Linked DNA regions of Elephas maximus indicus. The protein of the gene in region 2 interacts with the protein of the main gene of each other region in a pairwise test. Links are inferred from orthologs where the notes say so. Each region holds a gene or a part of one and is shown on either strand. Other genes may lie near its edges.

The links.
Region 1: the proteins of TRIM42 (region 2) and STK16 interact in binary tests that used the Homo sapiens proteins (3 or more experiments, as listed by UniProt). The two-hybrid records come from large-scale screens. The link is inferred for Elephas maximus indicus from reciprocal best matches to the Homo sapiens genes TRIM42 and STK16.
Region 3: the proteins of TRIM42 (region 2) and KCTD9 interact in binary tests that used the Homo sapiens proteins (3 or more experiments, as listed by UniProt). The two-hybrid records come from large-scale screens. The link is inferred for Elephas maximus indicus from reciprocal best matches to the Homo sapiens genes TRIM42 and KCTD9.
Region 4: the proteins of TRIM42 (region 2) and YWHAQ interact in binary tests that used the Homo sapiens proteins (3 or more experiments, as listed by UniProt). The two-hybrid records come from large-scale screens. The link is inferred for Elephas maximus indicus from reciprocal best matches to the Homo sapiens genes TRIM42 and YWHAQ.

Annotation. Positions count from the first base shown.
Region 1 is NC_064824.1:117,833,575-117,841,001, forward strand, and holds the start of STK16 (serine/threonine-protein kinase 16), read left to right. Parts: upstream 1-4,417; 5' UTR 4,418-4,467; intron 4,468-4,471; exon of another isoform or gene 4,472-4,521; intron 4,522-4,809; 5' UTR 4,810-4,913; coding exon 4,914-4,999; intron 5,000-5,545; coding exon 5,546-5,765; intron 5,766-6,068; coding exon 6,069-6,202; intron 6,203-6,370; coding exon 6,371-6,491; intron 6,492-6,614; coding exon 6,615-6,710; intron 6,711-7,086; coding exon 7,087-7,208; intron 7,209-7,336; coding exon 7,337-7,427. Other genes in the region: GLB1L (beta-galactosidase-1-like protein), read right to left, coding at 1-51, 143-237, 1,764-1,824, 2,010-2,160, 2,416-2,582, 2,759-2,815. UniProt on the Homo sapiens protein: Membrane-associated protein kinase that phosphorylates on serine and threonine residues. In vitro substrates include DRG1, ENO1 and EIF4EBP1. Also autophosphorylates. May be involved in secretory vesicle trafficking or intracellular signaling.
Region 2 is NC_064841.1:18,931,710-18,938,769, reverse strand, and holds the start of TRIM42 (tripartite motif-containing protein 42), read left to right. Parts: upstream 1-4,051; coding exon 4,052-4,392; intron 4,393-7,060.
Region 3 is NC_064840.1:48,272,652-48,279,889, forward strand, and holds the start of KCTD9 (BTB/POZ domain-containing protein KCTD9), read left to right. Parts: upstream 1-4,228; 5' UTR 4,229-4,279; coding exon 4,280-4,327; intron 4,328-7,238. Other genes in the region: CDCA2 (cell division cycle-associated protein 2), read right to left, coding at 2,207-2,377, 2,476-2,545. UniProt on the Homo sapiens protein: Substrate-specific adapter of a BCR (BTB-CUL3-RBX1) E3 ubiquitin-protein ligase complex, which mediates the ubiquitination of target proteins, leading to their degradation by the proteasome.
Region 4 is NC_064830.1:19,016,739-19,024,583, reverse strand, and holds the start of YWHAQ (14-3-3 protein theta), read left to right. Parts: upstream 1-4,832; 5' UTR 4,833-4,942; intron 4,943-5,494; 5' UTR 5,495-5,621; coding exon 5,622-5,915; intron 5,916-7,845. UniProt on the Homo sapiens protein: Adapter protein implicated in the regulation of a large spectrum of both general and specialized signaling pathways. Binds to a large number of partners, usually by recognition of a phosphoserine or phosphothreonine motif.

The DNA.
Region 1 (7,427 bases), on a different chromosome or scaffold from region 2:
CCTCATGTAGCTGAAATCACAGGCCTTATAACTACCATATTCATTCTCCACCTGCCAGGAAGAAGGGAAAAAGGAGTTCAGTGAGGAGGTTAAGGACCTCCTACACCCCCTTTTCCTTGCCCAGTCAACTTTTCACTTGTACCTGAATGCTAATGATGTTGCCCCCATTGTGGTACAGCCATGGATATATCTTGGGCAGCAAGACATGAAACCAGGAGTCCACTGCAGCAAGGAAGTCTAAAGGAAGAAGCCGCGCTCTCTGAGCCCACAGTGCTCTGCTCATTAGGGGCTACCACAACCTCTGCACACACATACACAAACACACCAACCAGCGTCAATACTAGCAACTTCCATGCTGACTATACTTGGGGCTGCAGTCTCCATCTGACTTATCTGAACCAAATCCATTGCCGCTGAGTCGATTCCGACTCACAGTGACCCTACAAGACAGAGTAGAACTGCCCTATATGGTTTCCGAGGAGCAGCCGGTGGATTTGAACTGCTGACCTTTTGATTAGCAGCCGAGCTCTTAACCACTGTGCCACCAGGGCTCCTCCATCCCACTTGCTGTTGTTAGGTGCCGTCAAGTCATTCCTGACTCATAGCAACCCTATGTACAACAGAACGAAGCACTGTCTAGAACTGCGCCATCCTCACAATCGTTGTTATGCTTGAGCCCATTGTTGCAGCCACTATATCAATCCATCTAGTTGAGGGTCTTTTTCTTTTTTCTTGACCCTCTACTTTACCAAGCATGATGTCCTTCTCCAGGGACTTGTCCCTCCTGATAACATGCCCAAAGTATGTGAGATGAAGTCTTGCCACCCTTGCTTCTAAGGAGCATTTTGGCTGTACTTCTTCTAAGACAGATGTGTTTGTTCTTCTGGCAGTCCATGGTACACTCAATATTCTTTGCCAACACCATAATTCAAAGGCATCAATTCTTCTTTGGTCTTCGTTTTTCACTGTCCAGCTTTCACACGCAATATGAGGTGACTGAAAAGGCCATGGCTTGGGTTAGGTGCACCTTAGTCCTTAAAGTGACATCTTTGCTTTTTAACACTTTAAAGAGGTCTTTTGCAGCAGGTTTGCCAAATGCAATGCGTCGTTTGATTTCTTGACTGCTGGCTTCCATGGGTGTTGATTGTGGGTCCAAGTAAAATGAAATCCTTGACAACTTCATTCTTCTCTCCGTTTATCCCACTTATACATAACTAAATCTGGGAAGCACTGACTGACTCTTGTCAGAAGAAACTCAACCCTAAGCACTCATATATTTGCATATCAATGGAATTTCAACATAGGAGACCTTAAAGCAGTGTTTCTTACACATTTGTTTTTTTCCTGTAATAAAAATGTTAAATACATCTTAAACCTTATAGAGCTATTATTATGTAATCAGCTTATGCCTCAAATTGCTATAAAGTGGCCTGTGAATTCACAGAAATGTGTAATGTGTAACCTGTACCCTAATGCACTGTCCGGTCGATTTTAGCCATCAATTGAAAGATCCCTGGTTTACATTAGGTAAAAAAGGTAGCATGCCTTAAATTCTCAACTCCTACTTGTGATTTCTGTGATTCACTCTCAGGTCTTCATGCATGTTATTACTTCTGCCTGACATTTTTTTTGTCCCCACTTCCTTCATTTGGCCAATTGCAACTCATGCTTAAATTATAGCTCGCTTCCTCAAGAAAACCTTCTCTGATACCTGAGCCAATTGTTGTTTGCCTTCTTCTATTGAATCTTCTGTCTCAACTCACCTGGATCTGAGGTTCTCAGATGAATTTTAGGTTTTCGAAGCAACCAGGATGGGAGACCCCCCTGAGAGAAACATAAACACAAGGAAGAGTGTAGGTTTTGTTGTTTTGGGGTGGAGTGGGGGAGGTAGGAAGGGAGGAAGTTCAGTGCAGTGTTGGAAGTGGCCCTACAGTATGGGCAGAAGGGAGTTGTCTAGGAATCATACAAGGGTGGCTTTGGTTCTTCTATCCCTTCTCCAACTAACTCACCATCTCCCACTCTGCACAAATATAAGGTCCTGGTCTCAGTATGACCAACAAGTTCGCCTTATTTGCCTCATTCAGAAACGCAGTGAGGTCCCGGCTGCCATTAAAGTTATAGACCCCAGGCTCTGGCTCATGGTAGTTCCAAGGCACGTAACTGGAGGAAAGAAGAGGTTAACAGGGCCCAAAGTGGAGAGATACCAGTGAGGCCTAAGGGCTCAGGCTCTGCAGGAAATCTCCAGGAAGCAGTTGGAAAAATGTCCTGGCCCACCCTTTCCCACCCTTGGCCTGGGAGCCCTGGTGCTCCAACCCCTCTCCATCCTGTGCCAGTCTTTCTGCCCCAAGCTTCCTCCTAAGGGGGTGGTACGAAGGGTAAGCCCCGCCTCTCCACGGCTCTCTGAGCACTTCTTACAACTGTATGGCGTTAAGGCCGCTCATTCGCATTTTGAAAAGCCGGTCTGCCCAAAGCACCCGCGGTACCCGGAAGTAGTGCAGGCTGCCAGATACATAGCGGAACGGAACCCCGTCCAGGAGGAACCGGTTATGATCCCGATCCACTACGAAAGACCGAGTGTCTGCCTGCAAATTAAAGTAGAGACGCTGCTCAGCAGAGGTCTGCAGTGGGGATCAGCGTCTGCCGAGAGCGGAGAATATGTAAATAGCCCCGCCAGTTATTATTTTTACTTTCCCTACATCCGCCGAATCTGATCCGGCCTCATCGAACCCGGCAGGCCGGCTCAACCCTCTTATCTTACCTGGGGCAGCAGCAGCGTCAGGAACGGCAGCAGCAGAGAGAGAAGGCAGGGCGGCATCTTGGGAGCCACGGCGCTTGCAGGGCTCCTAGTTTTGAGACTGAGGTCCAACCGTCACGTGGGATTCCTGGGAGGGAACCTCAGTGAGCAAGGGGGCGGAGACCACCCCAAGTTGCCAGAAGATTACCCTGGACTTTTGTCTCCAGCCTGCAGCCACCTGCCACTCTACTAGATTGTAAAATCCTCTATATCTTGCTACTCAAAGTGCAATCCATCGGACCAGCTTCGTCAGCATAACCTGGGAGCTAGTTAGAAATACAGAATCTCAGGTCCTTTCTCAGACCTATGGAACCAGAATTTGTATTTTAACAACATCCTCAGGAGACCCTAAACACATTCAAGACTGAGAATCACAGCTCTACTAGAATAACTCCCTAAAGGCAAGCAGTGCCTGGTCCATCTTAAATCCTCCAGAGTGGACACACAGCAGGTTAAATATAGACGAATGAATGTCAGAACCAGGGGCTAACGCCTGTTCAGAACTAAGGGAAACCTCAGACAATCTTCCCCATGATCGGGGTATGAAAACGGAGAACCAGGTTACAAAAGGGATGTTTCTCCTGGAAAGCCCTGTTTGAGAAAAAGGGTCCGTCCTGGCCATTCATTCCATCTTATCCCCATCCCACTCTCCCAGTTCATCCCTGCCTGCCTGAGCAAGAGATTTTAAGAATAACTGCTTGGTGCCAAGATTTGGGAATTTGTCAGTCTCCATTCCTCCTGCCCTCACAGTCCCAAGCCTGGGATGTGAGGACCAGGGTAATTAGTAATAATTACCGTTATTGTTTTTTTTAACACTTACTGAAGGCTATGTGTTAGATATTATGCTAAGCACTTCATATCTCATTTAATCCTCAAAGAACTCTGAGGTAGATAATTATCATCCCCATTTTACAGATGAGGAAATTGAGGGACAGAAATATTAAGTAACCTGTTCATAGTTACACACTAGTTCAGTAGCACTGGGATTTGAACTCAGCAGTCTGGCTTCATGGTTCAGGCAGGTAACCATAGGCACCATACAACCTTTGGGACTACGGCCTGTATCCCAGATGTTCGCTGTGCAATGAGATAGAAAGGCTGAAGGATAAAGACTAGGGAAAGTGAGGCTCAGAGACGTTAAGTAACTTGCCCGAGGTCACACAGCTAGTAGGCTGTTCAGTTCGGATTTAGACCCTGGCAGTCTGGTTCACGAGTCTGATCTTAACCACTAAGCCTAGAGTGGTGGGATCCGGGCCAGAGCCCTGGAGGTTGTGTGGCTTCAGAGCTCACAGCTCCAGCAGTCCAGACCTCGAGCACCTGCTTCTCCCTGTGTCCCCGGGTTGTACAGTAGACGGCCGCTTTCTGGCCCCAGAGCGCGGGAGGTATGAGACCCCCTACCTCGGGCATTGGGAGATGGAGGTCCTGGGGGCCTAGGGCCGGGCCCGGTTTTGCTCCCCTTTGGCTCAAGTGCCTGCGTCTTGAAGGCCAGGTGGGACCCCTCGCCTGGGACCCGTCCTCCCCAGGCCTAGCCTGCCCCGGGCTTCGCAGCGCGGCGCCCCCACATCGTCCGGGTGCCCAGCGGTTGCTATGATACCGCGGGCCGTTATGCCGGCGCGGACTGATGATGTAACCACTGTTTCCGGCCGCTAGCGCGTCCCTGTCGCCCGAGCCAGGTCAGTGGGGGGCCGGGGCTGGGGGACCCTGGGCTCTGCGCGCGGTTGCCGAGGGTGGGTCCTAGAAGGGATGGGTCCTGGAAGGGGTGGGCCCCAGCCTCGCACCTCCCGCGAACTGCCCTGCCTTGCCTTTACGGCCCGACGGGCGTGGGAGCGGGGGCCGCCCAAAGGTGGCCTGAGGTTGGCGGAAGCGGCGTGGTAGTTGTTACGTGGCCTGAGGCTTTAAGGCACCTGACCCCAGCCTTGTTGGAGCTGGTGTCGCCAGGTCCTCAGATCCAGGCCTCTGCTTTCCGCATTGGTACCTCAGGGGTCGTCGCGACTGTTCCTTTCTGTTCTTTACAGCATGCTCTGCTGGGCCCTCAGTGCATGGCCTGGAAGAGCCCACTCATCCTGAACGAATTCTTCTGCAGCCTCAGACCGTCTTTGAGGAGGATGACTGAGACACTATGGGCCATGCGCTGTGTGTCTGCTCTCGGGGAACTGTCGTCATTGACAATAAGCGCTACCTCTTCATACAGAAACTGGGGGAGGGGTGAGTGTTTGGAAATCACTGAGCGAGTTCCCAGATTATGGTGATTGAAGGACACCAATCCATACATGACAGGGGTATAAGGGTTTTAACTCTGTCCTCTAAGTCACCTAACGGGGCCTAGCTGCATGGTAGTCAAAAAGGTGAATTCTGCAGCCAGGCCTCCTAGATCTACCTTGTGTGACCTTGGTAAGCCATGGTTTTGTCATATGCTTGATGGAGATAATCATGTTTCGCTGATGGAGTTGTGAGGATTGAGATGATGTGTATAAGAGGGCAAGCCCAGTGCCTGGTCCATAAACACTTGGTAAATGTTGGCTGTTATTCATTTAACATTTATTGAGCATCTGCCAAGTACAGAACTCTGTGTTACGATCGTAGTACCTCAGAAATGACTATGTCGCTGTTCTCGAGGAGCTCAAAGTATGATAGTCTTCAGATGGGTTTCTACTAGTTGGGAAATACAGCCTTCTTCCCCCAGGGAATTCTTCTGGGTGCAGGCATTGCGGGAGATGACCGTGGTCCTTCACTGACCCCTTTGGCCCACAGTGGGTTCAGCTATGTGGACCTAGTGGAGGGGTTACATGATGGACACTTCTACGCCCTGAAGCGAATTCTGTGTCACGAGCAGCAGGACCGGGAGGAGGCCCAGCGAGAAGCAGACATGCATCGGCTCTTCCATCACCCCAATATCCTCCACCTCGTGGCTTACTGTATGAGGGAGCGGGGCTCGAAACATGAGGCCTGGCTGCTGCTACCCTTCTTCAAGGTCAGAAGGACTCTTGGATGTGGAGGGGGTTGCAATAGAGCCACTTACTAAGGGCTGTGTGGGCAGTCAAATGTGTAGGAAGCAGGGACCATGTCCTGGGTTTGGCCACTCAGATTTGGGGTTTAGAGGAACCCCAGTGGGACACATGGAGCTGCCATGAGTCAGAATCGACTCAACGACACTTGGTTTGGTTTTTTGATTTTAAGTGGGACTGTGGGATCTGAGGTGTGTGTGGTGAACAGGTTGATAGGCTTTGACAGAGCGAACAGAAGGCTCAGGAAAACTGGGGAAATTGTGTTGCAGAGAGGTACGCTGTGGAATGAGATAGAGAGACTGAAGGACAGAGGCAGCTTCTTGACTGAGGACCAAATCCTGCTGCTGCTGCTGGGTATCTGCAGAGGCCTTGAGGCCATTCATGCCAAGGGTTATGCCCACAGGTCAGTGGGAGGATCCCCTACTTACTGGGCAAAGAGGAAGAGCCTCACCAAAAGAAATGGGAAGTCTTTGCTCTCCTTTCAAGCAACAGCCCCCATGATTCTTTTGTTCCTTGGGATTTTGGCCTTACTGTCCAGGGATGCTCATGATTCACTCCCACTTCACTATAGAGACCTAAAGCCCACCAATATCTTGCTTGGAGATGAGGGGCAGCCTGTTTTAATGGACTTGGGTTCCATGAATCAAGCACGTATCCACGTGGAGGGTTCCCGCCAGGCCCTGGCCCTGCAGGTGAGTCTCCAGGTTTGTTTGTCCACCTGTTCCCCATCCTCAGTCCCTTCTGGGGCATGCCCCAATTTGGTCACATGACTGTGGCCTGTGACCCACTTTTGAGCTCTGGGGCCACTGTTCCAGGACTGGGCGGCCCAGCGATGCACCATCTCCTACCGGGCCCCGGAGCTCTTCTCCGTGCAGAGCCACTGTGTCATTGATGAGCAGACTGACGTCTGGGTGAGGAGCATATGGCTGGGAACCTGGGCAGGGGAGGATTGCTGCTCTGTACTCACTGTGCAGTAGAGGGTAGATCTGTGGTTTCTACTGCATGAGGCCCCAGGAACCATGGTATGTCCCCATCCTCCTTGGCTTCCTTCCTGGGACTGTCACAGATACTGTAGTCAACTGCTCAGGAAGTGGTATAATTCCTGCCCTTGAGCAGGGTGGGTACAGCTACATGTCAGGGCTAAAGACAGTGGCTAAGCAAGAGATACAGAGGCCTCCAGATAAGTGGCAGTTTCTGTGGGCCCTGATAGTGCCCTTTGACTGAGCAGCAAGGGATGGGTCTTACCTCCATCAGTTCCCTTCCAGAGAGTAACCCAGGTATGCTCAGTCCCTAGGCTGTGTGCTGTATGCCATGATGTTTGGGGAAGGCCCTTATGACATGGTGTTCCAGAAGGGTGACAGTGTGGCCCTTGCTGTGCAGAACCAGCTCAGCATTCCACAAAGCTCCAGGTAAGCAATAAAAGGGACACCAAGTGTTTCAGACACCTCCCTCTGGTGTTAGCTGCGCTGGGGCCTTAGCAAGCGGGGAATGGGTTGCCCTCCAGTCCTCCAGTCAGCCTGCCTTCCTCCCTCTACAGGCATTCTTCAGCATTGCGGCAGTTGGTGGCTTCCATGATGACTGTGGACCCCCAGCAGCGCCCTCTCATTCCTGTCCTTCTCAGTCAGGTG
Region 2 (7,060 bases):
AATGAAACACTGATACATGCTACGACATAGATGAACCTAGAACACATAATGCTACGTGAAAAAAGTCGGACACAAAAGGTCATATGTTGTATAATTTCATTTCTATGAAATATCCTGAATATGCAAATCTACAGAAACAGAAGGTAGATTAATGGTTTCCAGGTGCTAGGGGAAGAGGGAACAGGGAGTGGCTGCTATTGGGTAGAGTTTCTTTTCAGGGTGATGAAATTAGATATGGTTCTGGAATTAGATATGATGATGGTTATGCAATCTTGTTAATATACTAAAAACCACTGAAATGTACGTTTTAAAATGGGAAACGTTATGGTATGTAATCATCTCAAAAAAAAAAAAAACAAGAGAAACCTTGCACAGACCAATGATGAAAATGAACCATATATCCAGGAGTAAAACTCAAACCTCTGTACCTGAAAGATGGGGAAGGATATTGGTAAAATTTAGTTTGGGCAAACGTGGGGAAAAGGTGTCTTCTCATACACTGGGTTGCTTTTTTTTTTCTTAATTGTGCTTTAGATGGAACTTTACAGAGCTAATTAGTTTCCCACTCAATGGTTTGTACATAAAGCGTTCTATGACATTGGTTGCATTCCCCCAATGTGTCCGCACTCTCCCCAATTCCACCCTGAGTTCCCAGTTTCCTTTCATCTGGATTTCTACCACCTCCTGCCTTCTCATTTTTGCTTTTGGGCAAATGTTGTCCTTTTGATCTCATATAATTGATACTTCTAAGGAACACATTCCTCTCAGGTGTTATTGTTTATTTTATGGGCCTGTCTATGGTTTGGCTGAAATGTGCTCTTTGGTAATGGCTTCAGTTCCAGGTCAGAAGGGTGTCTTAGGCCCATAACCTCAGATGTTCCTCCAGTCCCTGTCAGACCAGTAAGTCTGGTCTTTTTTGGTGAATTTGATTTTTTGTTCTACATTTTTTTCCCCACTCTGTCCAGGACCCTCTGTCGCAATGCTAGTCAGAATGATCAGTAGTGGTAGCTGGGCACCATCTAGTTCTTCCAGTCTTAGGGTCATGTAGGCTGTGGCTTATGTGGTCCGTTAGTCCTTTGGACTAATTGCTCACTGGAGTATTTGGTTTTCTTCGCTCTCCTTTTCCAGATGGGAAGAGATAATTAGTCGTATCTTAGATGGCTGTTCACAAGCTTTTAAGATCGCAGATGCTACTCACCAAAGTAGGATGCAGACAATTGTCATTATGAACTATGTTGTGTCAATTGAAGTAGATGTCCCCGAGTCTGTGGTCCTTCACCTTTAAGCCTAGGAACTTCATCGAGGTGTTTGGTTATGGCTAAGAAATTTCCATGACTGTGCCCCTTGTGTGCTCTATTGTCTATATTAACATACTTGCAGCACCTACAATTATATATGTAGAAATATCCACAACCAAACCTATATCTGCAGGGTAGGTGTGCTCCCTTACACCCCACCCCCCCACCTCTTTAGCATACTTATTTACCTGTGTATCCATTCATAGATTACTGTTAATACTATTGTTGCAGGATTATCTATGTTACAGTAATTACCGTAGGGGTCCTTAATTCTCGCATTCCTTTCAGTTTCTTCTTTTGCCTTGGTCGTGTTGTACTGACTTCCCTCATATTTTGTATTGCCTTTCCCTTCACCAATATTAACACGTGTCTTCTATTTTTCCCTCCTTCCCCCTCCCATCGGTGGTAATCATCAAAACAACGTGTGTGTGTAAATCTTTTCTTGTTTTTTTAACAGCGGTCTCATACGATATTTGTTCTTTTGAGATTGACTTATTTCACTCAGCGTAATGCCCTCCAAATTTATCCATGGTGGAAGATGTTTCGTGGATTCGTTATTCTTTATCATTGCCTAGTATTCCACCGTGTATACGTACCACAGTTTGTTTATTCATTCATCTACTGATGGGTACTTAGGTTGTTTCCATCTTTTTGCTATTGTGAATAATGCTGCAATGAACATGGCTGTGCATATATCTACTTGTGTCACAGCTCTTATTTCTTTAGGAGTGGGATTGCTGGATCATACGGTATTTCTATTTCTAGCTTTTTAAGGAAGTGTCATACTGTTTTCCATAGTGGCTGTACCATTTTACATTCCTACCAGCAGTGTAGAAGAGTTCCAATCTCCCCATAACCTCACCATCATTTATTATTTTCTGTGGTGTGTGTGTGTGTTTGTGTTTGGATTAGTCCCATTATTGTCGGAATGAGATGGTATCTCATTGTAGTTTTGATTTGCATCTAATGGTTAATGATCATGAGTGTTTCCTCCTGTGTTTGTTAGCCACCTGAATGTCTTCTCTGGTGAAGTGTCTGTTCATATCCCTCGCCCATTTTTTAACTGGATTGTTTCTCCTTTTGTTGCTGAGGCGTTGAAGTTTTCTATGAATTTTAGAGATTAGACCCTTGTCAGCTATATCACAGCCAAATTTTTTTTTTTCCCAGTCTATAGTAGGTTCTCTTTTGGAGAAGTCTTTTGATGAGTTTAACTGTTTAATTTTTAGGTCTCTCATACAGTGTTGCTGTCAGAATGTACTGGCACATACACTTTAACAAGCAATTTAATAATATCTATCAAAAAAGATAAAGTACATGTCCTATCACCCAGGATTTTTACTAGTAGGAATCTAGACTCAACATGTGGTTGGCACAGAGCACCCAGTGAATGCTCTTTCCTATTATGAATGTGATAATCATAAGAAGAGATAATAAATTATGCAAAAGACTCCTGCAGCTAAATTTCAACTCTTGCTTCTGCTTCGTTTTGGGAAAATAATAAGACAGTGTTTATATTACAGTGTGGTATAATCATGAAATGTCTGCTCTTTTAATTTCTGCAAGCTACATAAAGTAGAAATCTAAATTCTCCCCTATAATATAAGGTCTGGTTTCTAGGGATTCAGAGTATATATACTAGTAGAACAAGGAAACTTCAGCCCAGTTAAAGATTCTCATATGAAGTTCTAGTCTCTTGCTAATAGAGGTGCTGGGATGGGAGTAGACTGAGAGAAAGTAAACAGAGCTTGGGCCTCAGCCAGACTCCATCAAGCTGCAGAAAAACCAAGAAACACTCATAGTGACTTACACGTGAAACTAAAAAAAAAAAACAAAAAACCAAACCCATTGCTGTCGAGTCTGTTCCAGCTCATAGTGCCCCTATAGGACAGAGTAGAATTGCCCCATAGGGTTTCCAAGGAACGCCTGGTGGATGCCAACTGCCAACCTTTTGATTAGCAGCTGAACTTTTAACCATTATGCCACCAGGATTTCCGACTTATACTTGAAGCCTCATGAAAATCAGCAGCGATTATGCAGTGACTGACAAAACCATTAAGTATTGAAAGTGCCTAATTGTGCCTGTATCTGTTTTTTTCCTCTAATTCTTTCTCCAAATGATGATATCCCTTTAAGTGTGGCATTGCTAGTATTTGTAAACACTGTGTTCATCAAATGAAGAATTCTCTCTATGCAGAAAAAGCCCAAGGAGAGGAAAAACATGTCAGTCTACTTTCCCAATTAATTACACCCAGGCCTTGTAGCCCATGCAGACATACCTTGAAGTCAGCTTGCCCAAACTGCAAGCACAGCACTAAGCAAGGAGAAACAGCTTCTGAAATCCAGCCCATAAGCTGAAAGGCGACGAGTGACAGCTAAACCTTCAAAATGTCATTGTAACATCACTCCCCTGGAGCTGGTCTTGTGGAAGCATGGAGTGTCCATCAGTCCACCCGCTGCCATCCCCAACGTCTCACCCTCCTGCCCCACCTACACAGGGTGGTGAGATAATGGTGGGGAGACAGGGATTGTGACATAAGCAAAAAGCCTCAGGCTGATATGCGTAAATAACAGCCCATGAGCCTCCCAGTAGGGACATCACCTGTGAAGGCCTCCTAACAGCCAACCTGTTGCTGCCACCAAGCTGAAGCCTCATCAGGGGGAGGAGGGACCCCTCTACTGGAGAAGTAACAGCGGGACTCTGGTAGAGGAGGCGTCAAAAGTCCTAAGGGGCAGGCTGCCATCATGTAGGCACCATGGAGACTGCTATGTGTGTTTGCTCTCCATGTTGTACATGGCAGAGATGTTGTCCTCGGTTATGCTCCTGTCTGTGCTGCAAGTTCCTCTTCACCTCGGAGCGGAACTGCACCTGCTTCCCCTGCCCCTACAAGGACGAGCGAAACTGCCAATGCTGCCACTGCACCTGCTCCGAGAACCCCAACTGCCACTGGTGCTGCTGCTCTTGGGCCAACGACCCCAACTGCAAGTGCTGTTGCACGGCCAGCAGCAATCTCATGTGCCACTACTACGAGAGCCGCTGCTGCCGCAATGCCACCATCACGTTCAAGAAGGGCCGTCTCAAGAGCATCCGCACTTCGTAAGTGCCGGGCGTCTCCAATGTGGGGTCGCGCTGGCTCAGGACAACCAGGGGCCCTGTGCCAGCTGCGGGGCCCACAGGGCAGGCCAGGTACCCCCTGGGCCCACTTTTCCACCTGAAAAGAAAGAGACCAAGAATTTTGTAGTGATTAAATGTATCCTAAACAAGTGCTAACCACTTACAGACCTGAGTTCCAAATCCAAGCTCCACTAACTCCATGACCGAGTGCAGCACTGGCCCTCAGCCTCCTCATCTGTACACAGTGACAGTACCGTGGCTAATGCTGAGTGCGTCAGCAACTTGTCAGGCACTGCATGCAGGACCCCATTTAACCCTCCCATCATCTTCACTGTACCCATGGGGAAACCCAGCCTTTGAGAGGCTACGTTTCCCAGGATCATACAACAAGTAAGATGCAAAGTCAGGATTTGAACCTAGAGTCCATGCTCTTAACTTTTAAAAGGCCGTTCTGTAGAACGGAGAGAACAATACCTGCCATGATGTGGTGGGTATGAGGGCATGCTTTGTAACCTGTTATGTGATATAAAAACAGAAATTGCTCTTCCCCTTTCTCCTCTGAACTCTTGATATTGCCAACACTTACTGAGTAAGTGATGACTTTCAGCGGCCACTTTTAACTCCTATGGCTTATCTAGGTACCTTGGCACCTGTGACTCCTGCCAGCCTTTCCTTCTTTCCCATCCACAAGCCTTTACATTTAGGGTCTCAAGTACCCATCTGGGGTATTAACCCTCCATGCCAGGCATTCTGTATGTTCTTCTTAGTTTGGCCAAACCAGTCTTTTTATATCACAGATGAGCAGAGCACAGGGAAGTAAGGACAGACATCTTAGAGGAGGAAAGATGAAAGCTCATCCCTAGAAGGTGGCAGGACTTGGAGAGGCAGAGAAACGGGAGGCAGGATTGAGGCCTTTCAAGCCTGGAAAAGTACTTCTGTGCGCAAAGGTTCAGTGAATTCAGGGTAGAGGAGTGTGATCCATCTTGCAGTTACGCACATAGTAGACACTTAATGAACGTTACCCTTTACCCATGGACCTCTTATTGCTGTTTGCATGAATCCAGGGATTCTGCATGCAAGTCAGGAAGTTCTAGGGTGTGGAAAATTGTATCCACAAACCCCTTTCCTCTCAACTGCCCTGTTTTCTATGTATCAGCAAGAAAGAGTTTCTGAGCCCATTTCAGTGGAGTTGGGATGATATTGGCTGGTGCTTTGGGGAAATGACTCAGGCCAGTGACTTCCACACTTTGCTGTGCATTAGAATCACCTGGAGACAGGGACATACAGAAAATGCAAGAAGTCGAGGCAGAAAGGAACAGAGCCACAGGGTCAAGATCAAAATGTAATCCTTATCAATGTCAACGGGGGTAAAGGGATAGGTACAGCCACAAATTGTGTTTACCCCTCCATTCCCACAGCTAATTCATTTCTTTTCATACACTGCTTTTGCCCTGGTTGGAGCTTCTTAGAACACACACATGAATTTTACCAGTATGCTTTTACTTCACTCATAGTTCTTATGGTTAAATATAGGAAATCAGCCTCAGGCATTTGGCATAACGTAAGCAGACAAAGACTAAACACATACACCCAGAACAGTAGCAGCACACACTTTCCATGGACTTGACCACTGTTTTCCTCTACTGTGGACTTAGACAACTAGTAACAGAGGAAAGTAATTATAATGGGCACATTTACTGAAAGCTTACTACGTACCAGCAGTTCAGCACTTATCATGGATTATCTTATTTACGTTTTGTAAAAGTCTCATGACAGAAGCATTATTGTGAGCCTTGACTTACCAGTGAGGAAACTGAGGATGAGAGAGGTTAAGAAACTCATCCCAAAGGAGCAGCTCTAAGCTGGCACATTCCATCACATATAATCTTCCCCTAGAGCCCGGACTCTGAATTGTTACCTACTAGTCTGGTGGTTGGGACACACAGGTTCTTGGCTGTTGACGCCTGTCTACTACTGACCTCCTGATGTCCTGGGAAAAGCCCTTTACCTACCCTACTCTCTGTTCCATCCTATTGACAGTAATGATAATAATCTCAATACTCTCCAGGCAAAACCACCGATAACACACCTGTAGTTGTGGCGCAGTCGTTAAGCATTTGGCCACTTACCAAGAGGTCAGCAGTTTGAATCCACTAGCTGCTCTGTGGAAACCCTATGGGGCAGTTCCACTCTGTCCTATAGGGTCACTATTTGTTGGAATCGACTCGATGGCAACAGATTTTTTTAGCTGAACAAAAAATGGGTTTATTGACTCATTGCAACAACTGAGATCATATACCATGGGGAACTGTGTGGTAACTCCATAAAAGGACGTTAAAAAGTTACAGGATTTGGACTCATGTTAGGTGAGAACGTCGGTGTAAGTCTCTTATTGGATATCTTAATAAATCTTACCTTAAATGTGGAAAGAAGACAGCATAAAGCTGCAGTTGGGAAAGAAGTAGCAGTCACTCCACTCCTATTAGCCAGGGTAGGGGAATGTGTGGGCGTTTTTGTGGTTTGGACAATGTTGTTGGTTTTGTCTAAGTTCAGACATGACTGTGGAGTCGTCTTGTTTCTGTTTTGCTCCATCACAGTACCAGAGAGGCTTTGAATGATGTTGGTGCTCAGTGATATTATGTTCAACAGA
Region 3 (7,238 bases), on a different chromosome or scaffold from region 2:
TCCTATGGATCACAACGGTCCAATCTGCAATTGATCATGAGGATGACGCAGGACCAGGCCGCGTTTCATTTTATTGTTCTTGGGGTCGCCATGAGTTGAGGCGATTTGATAGCAGCTTTAACAACAACATACCCACAGGCTGAAAGGGAAGGATCTCCACCTAGGCACATGAACTCTATCAAGTTCTTAATATTTCAAGACAATTTTGCTTCTGTTAGTATATCTATAGCATAATGACTTGTCTAAATTCATAAGCGATAAGAATCAGGATAAGCGCAAAGTTGGTTTCTATGAGGCAGAAGTCAAGCCAATCTCCACCTTCCTTTTTCATTATTTGACACCAGCTGCTCGCTTTGAGTTGGAACTGACTCGATGGCAACAGGCTTTAGGCTTTCCCTACAGCACTTTCTACTTCTCTGCTGCGTTCGATAATTCATTGTAACGGCCACACAGAACTCAAAGATCATACTCAGTTATGTGGTTTATTAGGGAAGTAAGAGGCTACAATGCAGGGTCAAGATCACCTTGGAAGTAACAGGAACAACTCAGGATCAGTGTCAGGAAACACAAAGACAAGGTCTGGAAGAGTCCCCAAAGTGGAGAGCACATCCATGCATTCTTCAGTGCAGGACAGCTTCCGAGCAGGACAGCTCTCAGAGCAAAAAGGATCATAAGCAGATAAGCTCTCTGCTGAACAGCTCTCAGCAAGCAATCAGTGGGCATAGTTTCTCTGCTGGCAGCTGCCTTCTTTGCTGGGAAGATGCCTTCTCTGCTGGGCAGGCCTCCCCACCACGAGGCTCTTAGCTGTTGCATCTCTTTGCCCTTTCTCTGCAGACTGGTTCAGCAACACCAGCACTGCTGTCAGCCACTAGCTGGCCCAACTCATAGCCAGTGTAGCAGCTTGCTAAGGTGCTCTCTCAGCTGCAGCTTTTTTTTTTTTAACTGGGACTGGGAGGGTTTTAAGCACAGGACTTCTGTGTCAAAGACACACTTGCCTCCCAGCTCTTGTCAACCAAGTAGCCCTGAAAACCTACACTTCAGTCCTTTATATATACCAATGCTCATCTCTTAGAATGCAGGGCCTCCCTCACCAAGCCAAAGTTCAAACTCCCTGCTGTCAAGTTGATTCCAACTCACAGAGACCCTGTAGGACAGAGCAGAACTGCCCCATAGGGTTTCCAAAGCTGTAAATCTTTATGGAAGCAGACTGCCACATCTTTCTCCCACGGACAGGATGGTGGGTTTGAAGAACCAAACTCCAGGTTAGCAGCTGAGCACTTAACCACTGCACCACTAGGGCTCCTCCACCTCAGTTCAACCAATACTCCACTGCCCAGATGTCAATCCACTCAGGTCTTCTACAACAGTAACATTCTCTACAGGCAGAGATTGGCCCTCTCCAGGCAAAAGTAACAAGCTGTGGTAGAATACAGCTTGGGAGGTCTCCCAAATTTTTTTTCCAAAGAGCAAATTCAAAGGCCACATAAAGGAACTCATTGTACCACACTTACATACTTCAGCATAGTACCCTGAATTCTGGCCGTGTGTCCAAGTACCCTGAATTCTGGCCGTGTGTCCAAGCACACAAAATGCACCTAGCTTTTCTAAAAGTGATATTCTTGAAGAGAGAACACCTTGGCCTTGTCTCAAACATTGCTTAGCTTAGTGCCCCTTGACTTTGCAGTCTCCCATATCCTCCATTTCTAAATTCTGTTCCATTCCTTTGTTTCTTTCTTCACCTACAACAGAAATTCACAGGTGACTTTCCGCTCCTTGGAGATTAGCCCCCGAGTCAATTTTGTTTGTGATTTTGAAAGAAGTACACCCCAATCATTCCACATTATATTTTAATTGTTCCTCAATTTTCTCTTATATTTGCCATTCCTGAACATAAACTGTTTTACTATTTATAGGATATATTCTCTTACGTCATGTCAAAAAGGGATCTGTACACATTCTTTCCCACTGGGTATACAGCACATCTCTGACTTAGGAACATTATCACACTGGCCAGCTGCCTGATGTCCTGCTATGCTGGATGGCTGTGCAAGTGCAGAGAAGTCTCCTTGGGCAAGTGAGCTGACAGAATCAAACATTTTAGATACATAAAATAACAAGATAAACAGGATGGATGAATAAAAGTGAATTATATTAAGGTTATCTTTAAAATTGAAAAGCACTACAATAGAATGACAATTTCTGTTACCTGGAGTGTTCTTAACAAAGCTTTCAGGTGTAATTCCCAATTGCTCTACAGTTACAGTAGAAAAGTTCAAAGGTGATTTAAATATGTCTGGTCTGCAAAGATTAGGCGTCACTTCTGCTTCATGTTTCTGAGTTACAAGCTCCCCATTTCCCAACATGAAAGAGGTATTTTCTGAAACAGACAGTAATATATTGTTGAGGCTAAACGTCATTATCAAGCAAAATATCTATGCCTTAGTTTCCACAAGATCACAAGAGATCACTACACACCAGCATTGTTAATAGCAGACTCTTCGTCCTTCGTTTCAAGGAGCTCCTTGCCTTTTAAACTGGTATCCATCTAAAAAAAAAAAGAAAAATATAAATAACTCCACCCCAAAACTTAATGTGATTCTAGCAAGATCCTCATTCAACGCTGAATTCTAATACAATCTACAAAGGTATGTAGATGTCAACAGAGTACTTCTGCAGCTCATATTAAAGAAATGGGGGAAACTGCTATTCAGGACCCTACACTGTTTGCCATGGCTTTTCAAACCTTAGTGAACACCTGAATCATCTGGGTAACCTGTTAAAAATGCAACTTTGTGGAGTCTCAGGAATTCTGATTCCGTGAATCTCGATGGTCCCTGGATTCTGCATTTTAAAAAACATTCCAGGTGATCCGAGTAGGTTGAATGAGGGCCACTGTCTCCGAAGGGCAGGATACACCCTTAAGAAACAGCACTGTTGCACTGTATTTGAAGCCCAAACCAGGGCACTTGTCCTACCTCTCACTCCCGCAACTTTGACTTCCTGTCGCTTCGGTTTATATTGAAATCTCTGCAGCACACGAGAGACGGTGTCAGCAAAATTGGGGGGAAGGCCTGGTACGATGTCTCTATCTCTTCAAGTTTCTTGACCTCGGCTCTACAGGCCTGAAGGTTCGGCTTGGGAAATCAACTGTTGCTCGCTAAGCTGGCAGCCACCGGGGCTGAGCAGTAGCTCGTAAACGGCTGCTCCGCCGTTCTTCTCTCTGGCTCCTGCCCACCTCAGGGTTCCCCGCCGCCCGACACCACAACCGGGGAGGTTCCCCTCTACCTAAACACTCACCTCCAGCCGCTCCGCGATCCCCCGCCGCTGAATTCAAATCGCCGACCCCGCCTCCTCAGCGTCAGAGCGTAGCCCCACAGATCTCTACGCCGGCAACCAGCCGCACGTGTCCACTTGCACCTCCAACTCTCCCAAGCCTCTACCTCGCTGTCGCAGGAAGCGGACTCGCTGCCTGCACTGAGCGAGAAGCCACCGCTAGCTGAGGGTGACCCATTGGCCAGAAAAACCAGCTTCTATCTTGGGTTATGGGACTACTTTCCATGTAAGTCTCGCGGAGTAACCCTTCGGTTGGCACTTCAGCTCCGCCCCCCACTTTTCGGTTGGATGCTGCGAACTTCGAAAAGAACCTTTGAGCCAATCAAGACAGAACGACGGGCGGGCTCTTACCCAATCAGCCAGTCCTGGCTGCAGCCGTTTCCTTTGTGGGTTGAGAGTGGGCGGGGTTAGAGCGGTGTAGGTCACTCCTAGCGCTCCGCTCTTTTCCCCAAACCCCGCCTTCATATGCAGATAAGCTCTTCTTGTGCTGCCTAGTATTAGTTTTGCGCCTGCCCAGTTATGCATCGAGCGGCCGGTGGGCTCCGGGTTCTGCTCTAATTGGCTGATAACCCTTCCCGTCTACAACCTTTCTTCCCTCCCTCCACCCCGTCTGGGTTCGTATGAGCCCTCCCAGTGCAGGATCATGATTGGCTGAATGCCGGTCATTCCTGCCCGTTGATTGGTGGAAATTAGAGTCAGTCTCGGAGCGGTGGGGGAAGGGCCCCAGGCAGGCTGAGGAGCATAGGGGCGGGGTGGGAAGGAGGACCCGCCAACCCTGGGGTGTGGGACGGAGAGTGTGTATTTGTCTGTGAGTAAGAGAAGGAAGGTGGCGAAGGGAGGAGAGTCCAAGTGGGTGGAGGGAGGGGAAGGGCGGGAGGAGAAAAAGGTGGGAGGGGAAAAAGGTGGGAGGGTGGCGGCTCACTCAGGACCTGGTGGGGGCAGCGCGATGAGGCGGGTGACCCTGTTCCTTAACGGCAGCCCCAAGAATGGAAAGGTAAGGGGGTCGGGAGGAGGTGAGGCGGGGCCGGCTCTGGGGGCGAGGGCAGAGGAGTACAGAAAGAGCTCGCAGGGCAGAGAGAGTCGGAGGGCAAAGGGCTGAAGTTGGGTAAAGGGGCTGGGAGGTGGGCGCGGGGGGTGTCCGGGAGGTGAACATCGGCCTCCCGCGGCCTCCTCCCAATCCTAATTTCTTGCCTAAGCTTGCCCTTCAACTTCTCAACTGCCCCGGGGACCGGTGCAGGTCAGGCTTGTGCTTAATCGTTCCCAAATCCAGGACCTGGGTCCGGAGAAAGGAGGGGACCGAGGGTGTGGGGAGGGACGCTGTCACCTGAGACCTTAGTGCTGATGTTCCTGTTTCCATCTAATCGCCGAAGACACCGCTTCCCCACCCCTGGTTCAGCTGGGTTGTAGAAGGCTTGTTTCCACCTTCGTGCTGAGTAATGGTCTGCTCAAGAAAGTGATAGTAATGATGAAGGCGTTGTGAGATTGATCAGGTTAAAGAAAAAATTAAACTTTTTATCAGTGGGTTAATAAAATATTCCTTCATTCAAAGTAGAACAGAGGATTGAAAATTGGGAGGCTTTCTTGATTTTTTTTACCCCCTCTCATTTAGGTGCCCCAAGCCCCCAAGCCTGGCCGCTGCCAAACTTCTGTACTCGCTTTATTATTTCGCTTTATTTTAGTTCCTTAGAGGACTGAGGAGAGACCAAAATGGACTGATTTGGCAGTACTGTTTGCTGTGTGAGGGTGTGGTACTAAATATTTCTCCAAGGTCAGAGCAAGCCAAAATGAATCCTTTTCCTTCTCAGGCTCTTGCCCCACCCATAAAAGTTGTTCAGCTTCTTTGGAAATTTTGACTGTTCAAGGCACATATATTGTGTGGCTAAATGATATCTAGTAAGTGGTTAAGCCTTAGATTTTAAGGTAAAGGTAATTTGGTCTCACTGAAATTATTTGCTAAATAGTTTGCTTCCTGCATATTCTGGAAAGAGGAATTTTTAAATAGTGACATTTTGCAACAGTATAAAAATGGCTTTCCCACTATGCTGTAAGTTTGAGTAAACATGTTCAAAATCTGAACCACAGTGTGGTTTTTTGGTTATAATTTTGTGTTTTCCTGGTCTTGGAGACTTAATACTCATACAAAAACAGGACTGGGATAAATTCAAGTTTCTGAATTTTCATAAATGGTAACTCAAAATATGCTTCATAAGATTTACATTATTTCTGTTAACTTTTTCTAAACCTATTTTGTGGTTAGCTACTAAATCTAAAACTTACATTGTCGCTGGAAGAAAGATTTAGTAGTATATTATAATATGTTCTCTAAACCAAATCTCTACTTGACCTTTTTTATCCAACACCTCGACTCGACGGCAGTGGGCTTGGTTTTTTTGGTTTATCCAACACCTCTGCTGTGTTACTCATAAAAGACAAGATGTTAAGACCCAGTTATAAATATTTAACTGTGCCCTAAATCTCTTCTGAAACCACTGAATTTTGTTGCCAAAGACTGGCTGAGTTGGGCTCTCCATACTATTTACAATAAGGCTTTTTTTTTTTTAAAGCTATCTAGTCTTAACTAGGTTAGATTTTTGGATATAAATTTTATTTACTTTAAAAATGTTTACTAAAGAACCTCAGAAGATTAGAGAAATGCATCTTAAATAATTAAAAATAAATATATTACAAAGATTATACAAACATAAACTGGAGGTTGCTAGTGTGATTCAGTATTGAAAATAAACCATGCCATAATCCTTACTCTGTTGGAATACATATTAAGAAATCTTTTTTCCAAAGAGCAAAATTATCAATGTTTCCTCTCCTCTCCATTAAGCTGATTAATAAACAATATTATAATTACTCTTATTTGACGAAAAAGAGCAGGATAATACATAACAGTCTACATATATATCTCTGAATGAGTTCCTGGGTGGTGCAGATGGTTACACACTCAATTACTAACTGTAAACTAACAAAGTCTGGAGGTTCAAACTCACCCAGAGGCGCCTCAAAGGCAGGCCTAGCAATTTACTTCCAGAAGGTCGCAGCCTTGAAAACCCTGTGGAACAGTTCTACTCTGCACACACGGGGTCGTTATGAATCAGAATTGACCCAACGGCAACAACTACATGTAAACATACATATAAATATATGTACACACATATATATGTCCTGTTTAGCCAGGGATGGTATTATCATGACACGAATGTTTGTTAAGAACATGCTGAAGCAAAGAGCTAGTTTGATTTCCTGTCCACCAGTTAGAGTATCTGTGTCACTTTCATTATCTCTCTATTTACTTAGCCTCTATTATTGTTTCCTGGCCATAAGAATAATCTGTTTTTCCAAAAAGTTTTCTTTCCATAATGCTTGTTGAGTGGTTGCCAGGCTTGGCCATGAAGCTCGGTGAGGAGGCACGGAATTATTACAGGAGTCATCGTATGCTCACCGTGATACCTGTACACCAACTAAATAAAGCTAGTGAGTGTTTTGATGTCGAAGAGAGGGGTATGTGTTCTCTGAAATAGTGGTTTCTGGAGTGAGATGATGTACCACAAAGGATGTAAAAGGTGATTAGCTGGAGTTTAGGAAGAAATAGTATACCTTTTATTTACATTTTTCACTTAAAAATATAAAATAATATTAAAACTATTTTTTTAATCTAGAAAGACACCAGCGTCTCCAGTCACTGGATGTGTCAGCTGGTCACAAGTCTTCTGAAAGAACAGGATGTTCACATGTGAAAAAGTTGATAGCTGCTTCCTTATTTGTTGATTTACTTTTGTTATATTGTGATGTATGGAAGTTTACTGATGCTGGGTTAAGATATATATTATCCAGTTTCAACTGAACTAACCTTCACCAAAAAGTCAAGTGGCTTTAAAAGATTCCTTTCAATGAAA
Region 4 (7,845 bases), on a different chromosome or scaffold from region 2:
TTCCAAGGCTGTAAATCTCTACAGAAGAAGACTGCCATGTCTTTCTCCCGTGGAGTGGTTGGTGGGTTCAAACTGCCGACTTTTTGGTTAGCAGTCGAGCGCTTTAACCACTGCACCACCAGGGCTCCCAACACATATAGCCACATGTGTACAAATGAAGAGAGATTATTTAGAAGTCACCAAAATGAAAACAATGATAACCTCTCAGAGGTAGGCTCCCAACCCCTGTTTACTTTCTCTTGCACACTTAATTTCTTTTCATGTTTAACATTTTTGCATTTGATTTTTTATTTTGTATAACGAGTGGTATTACATTCCTTATTAAGATTATCGTCATCACCATTATCATCACTACAAAAACATTTGAGCATTTAAAAAAACAAACAAACTTGATTGCCCGGCGTACAGAAAATGCTGGATAAATGTCAGAATGCTAAAGCGCTTCCCCAAGTGGCCAGCTGATTGAGAGCTGTTTAGAATGCCTACCATTCTACCATTAAAGTTTTATTCTTCAGACTTAAGAGCTGTCTTTCATCTTAAAATGCAAATAATGGCAGAAGAAATATTGCTTGAATACTTACAAGTTTTTTATGTGATGGAATGAGTCTATTACATTTTTTTCCTGAGCACTTACAGGGAGGTAGGAAGAAAGAGAGTTTGAAAACAGTGTGTGGCTTAGGGGTGCCCAGGAGATGTCAGAGATGAAGCAATTAAGTGCACTGACTGGGGAGCCTGCAGATGGCAGGAATAAACCTTGCCGGCTGCAGTTGCTGATGGAAGGATAATGCTTTAGGCCTAACCCTGGCCCTAAGCCAGGGAATGTGTAGGAAGATGTTTTCCTGACCAGGCTGGCTTTTTCCACCTGACCCTGGCTCTAAGTGAGTCTTCATTTAGCACCTCAGGGCTGGCTAAAGGCGGGAGGGGGTGCAACTCTTTATCCCTTAAACAGAAGTATTGATAATAATTATACGGGCCTTTTGGGTGAAAAGTTCCACTCAAACATTTGTCAGTGAAATACCTGCCATATGGTAGGAGAGGAACAGATTCCTCTCTGATGATCCATGGTGCTGGGCAAATAAACCAATGAAACAATTGATGAGAGTAAACTCAACCAGAGGACTCATTCCTTCTGGAATGTACACTGAATGTAGCCATTCTGCAGACCATTAACTCCACTAATTAGAACCATGATTCAAGAGATAAGCTTTCACTAACATTTTGGAAGACTCTAAGGCTCCTTGCAGCAGGACAAGCACCTCCCTCCTGCCCTGAGTCCCCACCCTAAGCAGAAGGAAAGAAAACTCATGTTAACTGACCACTGCTATATGCCTGGCATTTTCTTAAGTGAAATTTAATCACAGCAACCCTTTGAGGTAGGGATTATTATTGCTGTTATCGTTAGCTGCTGCCGAGTCAAGCCCCCAACTCACGGTGACACCATGCACAAAGAAATAAAATGCTGCCCGGTTATACCCCATCCACATAATTGATTGGGGATTGGACTACTGTGATCCACAGGGGCTTCACTGGCTAATTTTTGGAAGTAGATCTCCAGGCCTTTCTTCCTAGTCTGTCTTAGTCTGGCCACTCCACTGAAATCTGTTCGGCCTCATAGCAACACCAGACCTCCACCGAGAGATGGGTGGTGGCTGCTCAAGAAATGCATTGGCTGGGAATCGAAGCTGGGTCTCCCACATGGGAGGTGAAAATGTACTTTTAGCCCTTATGGCACAGTGGTTAAGAATTTGGCTGCTTACTAAAAGGTCCGCAGTGCGAATCAACCAGCCGCTCCTTGGAAACCCTATGGGGCAGTTCTACTCTGTCCTATAGGGTCACTATGAATCAGAATCGACTCAATGGCAATGGGTTTTATCACAGGTTAGGACACCAAGTTTAAGAAAGGATAATAAGGTGTCCAAGGTCAAACTGCAAATGAACAGTGGAGTGGGATTTAGGATTTCCTGGTTTCAGGTCCAGTGTGCTTCCCCCTGTCCCATCAGTTTCTTCTCACCAGGTCATTTAGAAAAAAATAACAAGAACATCAAATAAATAAGGCAATGACTTCTCAGTACTTTGTTAGCTGTTTGTTCCTGAGGGTTCTCAGCACGTTGGATGTGGATATTTAACATATTTCGTATTTATTAGAATGAAACTTCTAGAGAACAGACTTGTCTGATCCTTCCTAGAAGCCCCCACAGCACCTAGCAAAGATCTGGGGAAACTTGGTGAGGCAGCCATGGCATAAACCAGAAAAAAACCAACCCAATTGACGTTGAGTTGATTCTGACTCATAGTGGCCCTGTAAGACAGAGTAGATCTGCCCCATAGGGTTTCCAAGAAGTGGCTGATGGATTCAAACTGCAAACCTTTTGGTTAGCAACCGTAGCTCACTTATTTCCTTGGAGATCATAGTAGCTCTTAACCACTGTGCCATCAGAGCTCAGAGAGCCTGGGTCCAAATTCAGGCTCTACCACTCACTGGCTGTGTGACACTGAGCATAATATTTAAACCTTCCTGTGCCTCAATGGAGATAATAGAGACACTCATCATAGTAATACCTACTTCATAGAGGTATTAAGCAGACTAAATGAGTTAATGCTTACAAAACACAAAACCCAGTGCCGTCGAGTCAATACCTACAATGCTTATAAGAGACTTAAAATAAATGTTAGTACTTTATGTGTCCAGGGAATTCAAGCTCTCAGAGTCTTATTTTTCTCCAACTTGAGCTCTTTTGGGTGCAGAGGTCTTTAGGTATACAGACTTATCCCTCTGGACCCTCATAAAATACTTTACAATTCCACAGTGCGCCAAATTTTCGAAGAAGTTTTCACCATGATTCCAGATGATTGTCACCATGTGAAGCAGATGCTCAACAAATATTTGATGATTGAATGAAAGTAGGAATTTTCTAGAAGCTGAGGTACAGCGAGCAGCAAAAACTTGCCCAAGGTCACCCAGCGAGATGGCAGTACAACCCAGGCTTTCTGACAAAGAATTTAGTGTGCTCGCCCCTTCTGGGTGACCCCTCTCTCCCTACCACTGATGTTCAGTCCCCTGACGATTCCCCTCCAGTGTCTCCCCACCACCACCACCTCCACTGGCTTCTGCCCTTGCTGTTTCTAATTCCAGTAAACTTGAAATGCACTGGTTATACAGAAAGCATTTTATCTGACCTTCTACATGCAAATTCTTTCCATTGGGATTTCTCCGTGTCCGGCTCCACCCCAGCCCACATGGCCATAAACACTCGTGTGTCTACAGCCCAGCCCCAGGGATTCCAGAAATAACAGCAGGGCCCTCCATTAGAAAGCTGGAACATAGTAAGGCATTTCTGTATTAAGACACAGGCCTTTTCCAAATCAGGCCTCTCCTGTCTGTCAAGATACAAAGCAACCTTTAGAAGTCAGGACTGGGAGGGGCAGCTGGGAGAGAGTTTAAATTTCTGGAAAGTCCGAATCCTCTCCTCCCATCTGTTTGCACTCTCAGGTCTTCCATTCTAGAGATTCTCCAGATTTGCTCTCAGTCTCCACTTGGAATTTCAAATTCTTACTTGGCTGTGGCACTCCTTGGCTTTCAATGATCCATTCTCCCTTGCTGGAACTGGAATCATAACATTGTGTGCCCAGATGGCAATTTACATCCCAAGATGGCACCAAGCCCCTTCCCAGACCTAGAAGACCTAACTTGGACTTGAGGGGCTGGGGAAATGCCAGCAGAGAAAGAAGTAGCTGGTGGAGGCTAGGCAAGGAACAAGAAGATGTTAGGCGCCACCCTGAAAACAAGGCATCTGGGGCAATCGTTTTCACTTCAGAAGGGTTTCACCATGAGGAGAAAAACAGAAGACAACGTCTTGAGAGAATTTTGGCTTTTCAAGTGTCATCTCAAAAATAACGCCAGAAAATAAAAACCATGTTACACATAAAATAGTGATGTGAAAAGAAAATGTATTTAAATGCATTAAATATAGAAAAGGTGGAAATTTAAAATTAGTTGCTTGTGATGTGGGGAGCAGGTTCTGGGTGTTTTGCTCCAAATGGTCCTTAATGTCATTTTTTTTTTCTTTTTTAAATCATGCTAACTAGCATTGTCAGATAAGTCTGCTTAGACCTCCTTGGATCTACCTTTATGCAGGGGAATTTTAGTTTTTAGGTACCCGTCGGAAAACTTGAATTTATCAGGTAAAAGCCACACTTAAGCCACTTTCTCCAGGAACTAAATCTTCTCTAATGGGGATGAGATTGTTTCTAATTTGCTGCCCTAATCGCAACGTCATTAAAGGCTGGGTTTAGTATATTGAGCTCCAAACCTTTGTCACGAATAGGAAGGTGGAGGAAAGAAAGGCGCTTGTGCAGCGAGAGGGCCCATTCTGTCACCCTCCGAAGCCCAGCCTCAGTCAGGACCGACCAGCGCTGCAGCTGCATTAGGCAACAAGATGCAATGCACCATCTGCAGTGGCTGCTGCAGAAAGAGACTCTGCCACCGCGGGAGAGGTCTTGCGAGCCTCTCGGTCTCGTGCCGCACCCAGAAGCGCCGGGGGTGGCGGGGAGGATGAGGGGAGTTGGTAACAGCATCACCATGGCAACAGTGACGTCCTTTTACCCTGGATCTAATTGGAGGAAACCCCGTGGCCGAAGCCGCAGCCTACCGGCCAACCGAACTTTGCCAAATGCGACCCACCCTCCTGTCCTCCGCTTCCCCTCCCACCCCACCCCCTCCCTCGCCCCCTTCCGCGCGCTTAGTCCTCATTGGTTGGTAACGGAGTAGGAGGTGGGACTCTTGGGGGAAGAGCGGCGTATCATTGGGCGGCGGGCGCGAGGGCTGTCGCGCCGCTGCCCGCCCTTCGGCTCCGGGGTAGGCTGAGACGGGAGGGTCCTTCGCTAAAGCTAAAAAGCACATCAAAGTGGTGGGACTCGCGTCGCGGTAGCGGAGACGGTAAAGGTGAGCGCCGGGATCGCTCCCCCGCCCCTCCTCCGGCCTTCCTGGGCTCCAGGGCAGGGTGGGAGGCGCAGCCCTCGGCCACGGCTGGCTCTCGACGCCAGTCTCCTCAGAGGCAGCGATCGGCGGGGAAAATGCAGGGCTGACGACCGCTTCCATTTTGGGCTTCCCGGGCTGGGCGGGGGTGGCCCTTCCTCCCGCTTCCCGCGCGCCGCCGGGCCGCTGGCTGGCCGCGTGGGCGCCGCCTCCGCCTCCCTGGCCTTCGGCCTTGGCCTTTCAGCCCCCGGCCGCCCCGCCGACCCCGCCCCGCCGGCCTCTCCCGGGGTGCCTAGGCGGGTGAGCGTGGGCGGGGGGGAGAGGGAAATTCAATTCCGCCGCGGCCGCCGAGACAAAAGGCAGGCGGGCGGGCGGGCGGCCCGGGGCGGCGGGGCCGGCCTGCGGGCTGGGCGGGGTGTGGGCCGCATTGTCTGACGGTGCGCGCTCTCCTCCCCCTCCTTTTTGTTCTCGGCTCCTATCTCGCCACTCTCGGCGCTCCCCACGCCGCCCCTCCCGCAGGCTTTCGAGGAGGGCTCTTCCTGATCCGGGTTGGTTCTCGCCGCCCTCGCTGTCTCTGCCTGTCTCTTCTCCCCGTCCCCTCCCGGAGCGCCGCCGCCACCCGAGCCCCGCACGCCGCCTGTCCACCATGGAGAAGACGGAGTTGATCCAGAAGGCGAAGCTGGCCGAGCAGGCTGAGCGCTACGACGACATGGCCACCTGCATGAAGGCGGTGACGGAGCAGGGGGCCGAGCTGTCCAACGAGGAGCGCAACCTGCTCTCGGTGGCCTACAAGAACGTCGTCGGGGGCCGCAGGTCCGCCTGGAGGGTCATCTCGAGCATCGAGCAGAAAACCGACACCTCCGACAAGAAGTTGCAGCTGATTAAGGACTATCGGGAGAAAGTGGAGTCTGAACTGAGATCCATCTGCACCACCGTCCTGGTGAGTCTGGACTGGTGGTCTCGGTGGTGGGAGAATGGGTGGTGGGGGCGTCAGAATCGGGTGTCTGGAGCGCCGAGGCCCTTTTGTGTAATGCCTTTCATTGAGAATTTCATGGGAATGGGGAAAAAAGGGGGGCGAGGGCTTGCCTAATTGTTCGCCAATGTAGAGGCTCTGAGAAGGTTATTATCCTTGCCTTTTTTATTCAATTTAAGTTCTTGAGACTCAAGTTGATTTTCCAGCAATGAGTGAATCTTTCCCCAGTTCTAGGCTGCTACTACACAATATGGATTCAAATGTCCCAGTAGGTTTGTACATGTGCAGGGCTGAAGCGTCTTGTCCTGGGAAACGGCTTACAGAGGACATCAGTGAACCCTTTAAATATTGAATCAGTTCACATGCTTCAGAGTTAAAAGAAGATGCAGTCACCTTTTTGATAAGACAATGTGTAGTAACGTCTCCTCCTATACTCTAGTAATAGAAATTTATCTTGAAAATCCAAAGGCATGATTCATTTTTCAGTTAAGAGTATTTGTTAGGCTTCTCGTTAAAAACGGGGGTGGGGGCGCGCTAAATTGTGAAGAAGGCAGAACTAAGTCTAAAGAACAAAATGTCCTGGTAAATTTATTATTTCCTAATAGTTTCCTGCTATTGCATAGCTATATTTAAACTTTAGTATTTGAAGTGAATTCATTTCTGGCTTGAAGTAGGCAAGGAAAGCTTTCTAGGTTTTAAGCTGTTCAGTCTTAGCAAAGGTGGCTATTGGGTGGAGGAGGTGACTGCTGTGATTCACCCTTATTAGTGATAGATGACATTTTTAGCTTTGTCATTGCCTGGACAGACTCTTGTTATTTTTAATCGATAAGATTAAGTTTTTTAATTTAAATACTAGCATTATTTCCTGGTGTATTTTTAAATGTTTCTGATGATGCAAAGAGTTGTTTCTACTGGTAAAATATAGAATCTCTGACATAGGTTGCCTTAATTTTTTTTTTTTTTTTGGTTAAGTGCCACTTTAAAAGAGGCATACTGATTTTTGACGAGTTTGTTCCAAATTGTATTTTAGTTGGGCTTTGAAAGATGAGCCAGTAAGCTGGTGATTTTTTAAAGGAGGAATGGGGAAATTGCCCCTTTCTTTGCCGAACGTTTCTCCTTTCTTGGGATCAGACTGGTGTGGCAGGGCGTGTGTGCGTGCGTGTGTGTGTGTGTGCCTGCGTGCGTGTGTGTGGTTTAACTTACCTGTTTTTGTAATACATATAACAGTCTAAACAAAACTGTGGCTGATAGAGATAGCCGGTAAAGGGGCTTTCTGGGTGTGTACTAAAGAAGGCAACACGTTATTGAGATTATTTGCTTTATGAGGGTGAGACACTGTATTATATTTATCTATGTGTTCTTAGCTTCTAGTCCCTGCTTCGCATAGAGAAGGCGCTTCGAAAAGCTTTGTGATCTAAATTGGCCTGTGTTCAAGAAACTTGCCAACTTGAAAGTGATGGTAGGCTTCAATAGTATTTGGTGATGGTATTGACTGTTTATTGAGGGGGAAGACTGATAAGAACTCCATATACTAAGGACAAGGTGTTCTGTATATTCCTTTAGGGTGCTCTCACAGTTATTTGTTTAATTATTGTTTTGCAGTTTGCCTTAGCAATTCAGGATTGGCACAAGGTTTTTCCTGCTCTCTTGCAAGTTAACTCTGAATCAAAGGAATATTTGTTTTATTTTGTGGCTCATATAAAGTTCGGTTTCTATGATAGCATAAGTGGAAGAGATTCACGCTACCTTTGACAAGTGAAAGAGTTTGCTTGGTTGGTATGAGGCTTGGAAGAGTAGTCCTTTCATACACATCATTTCAGTACAAGAGAGCCCCTGAAAGTAGGGCAGTTTTTATACCAATAGAGTATAGAAGAGTTTAGCTTGATTAACCTGAGAC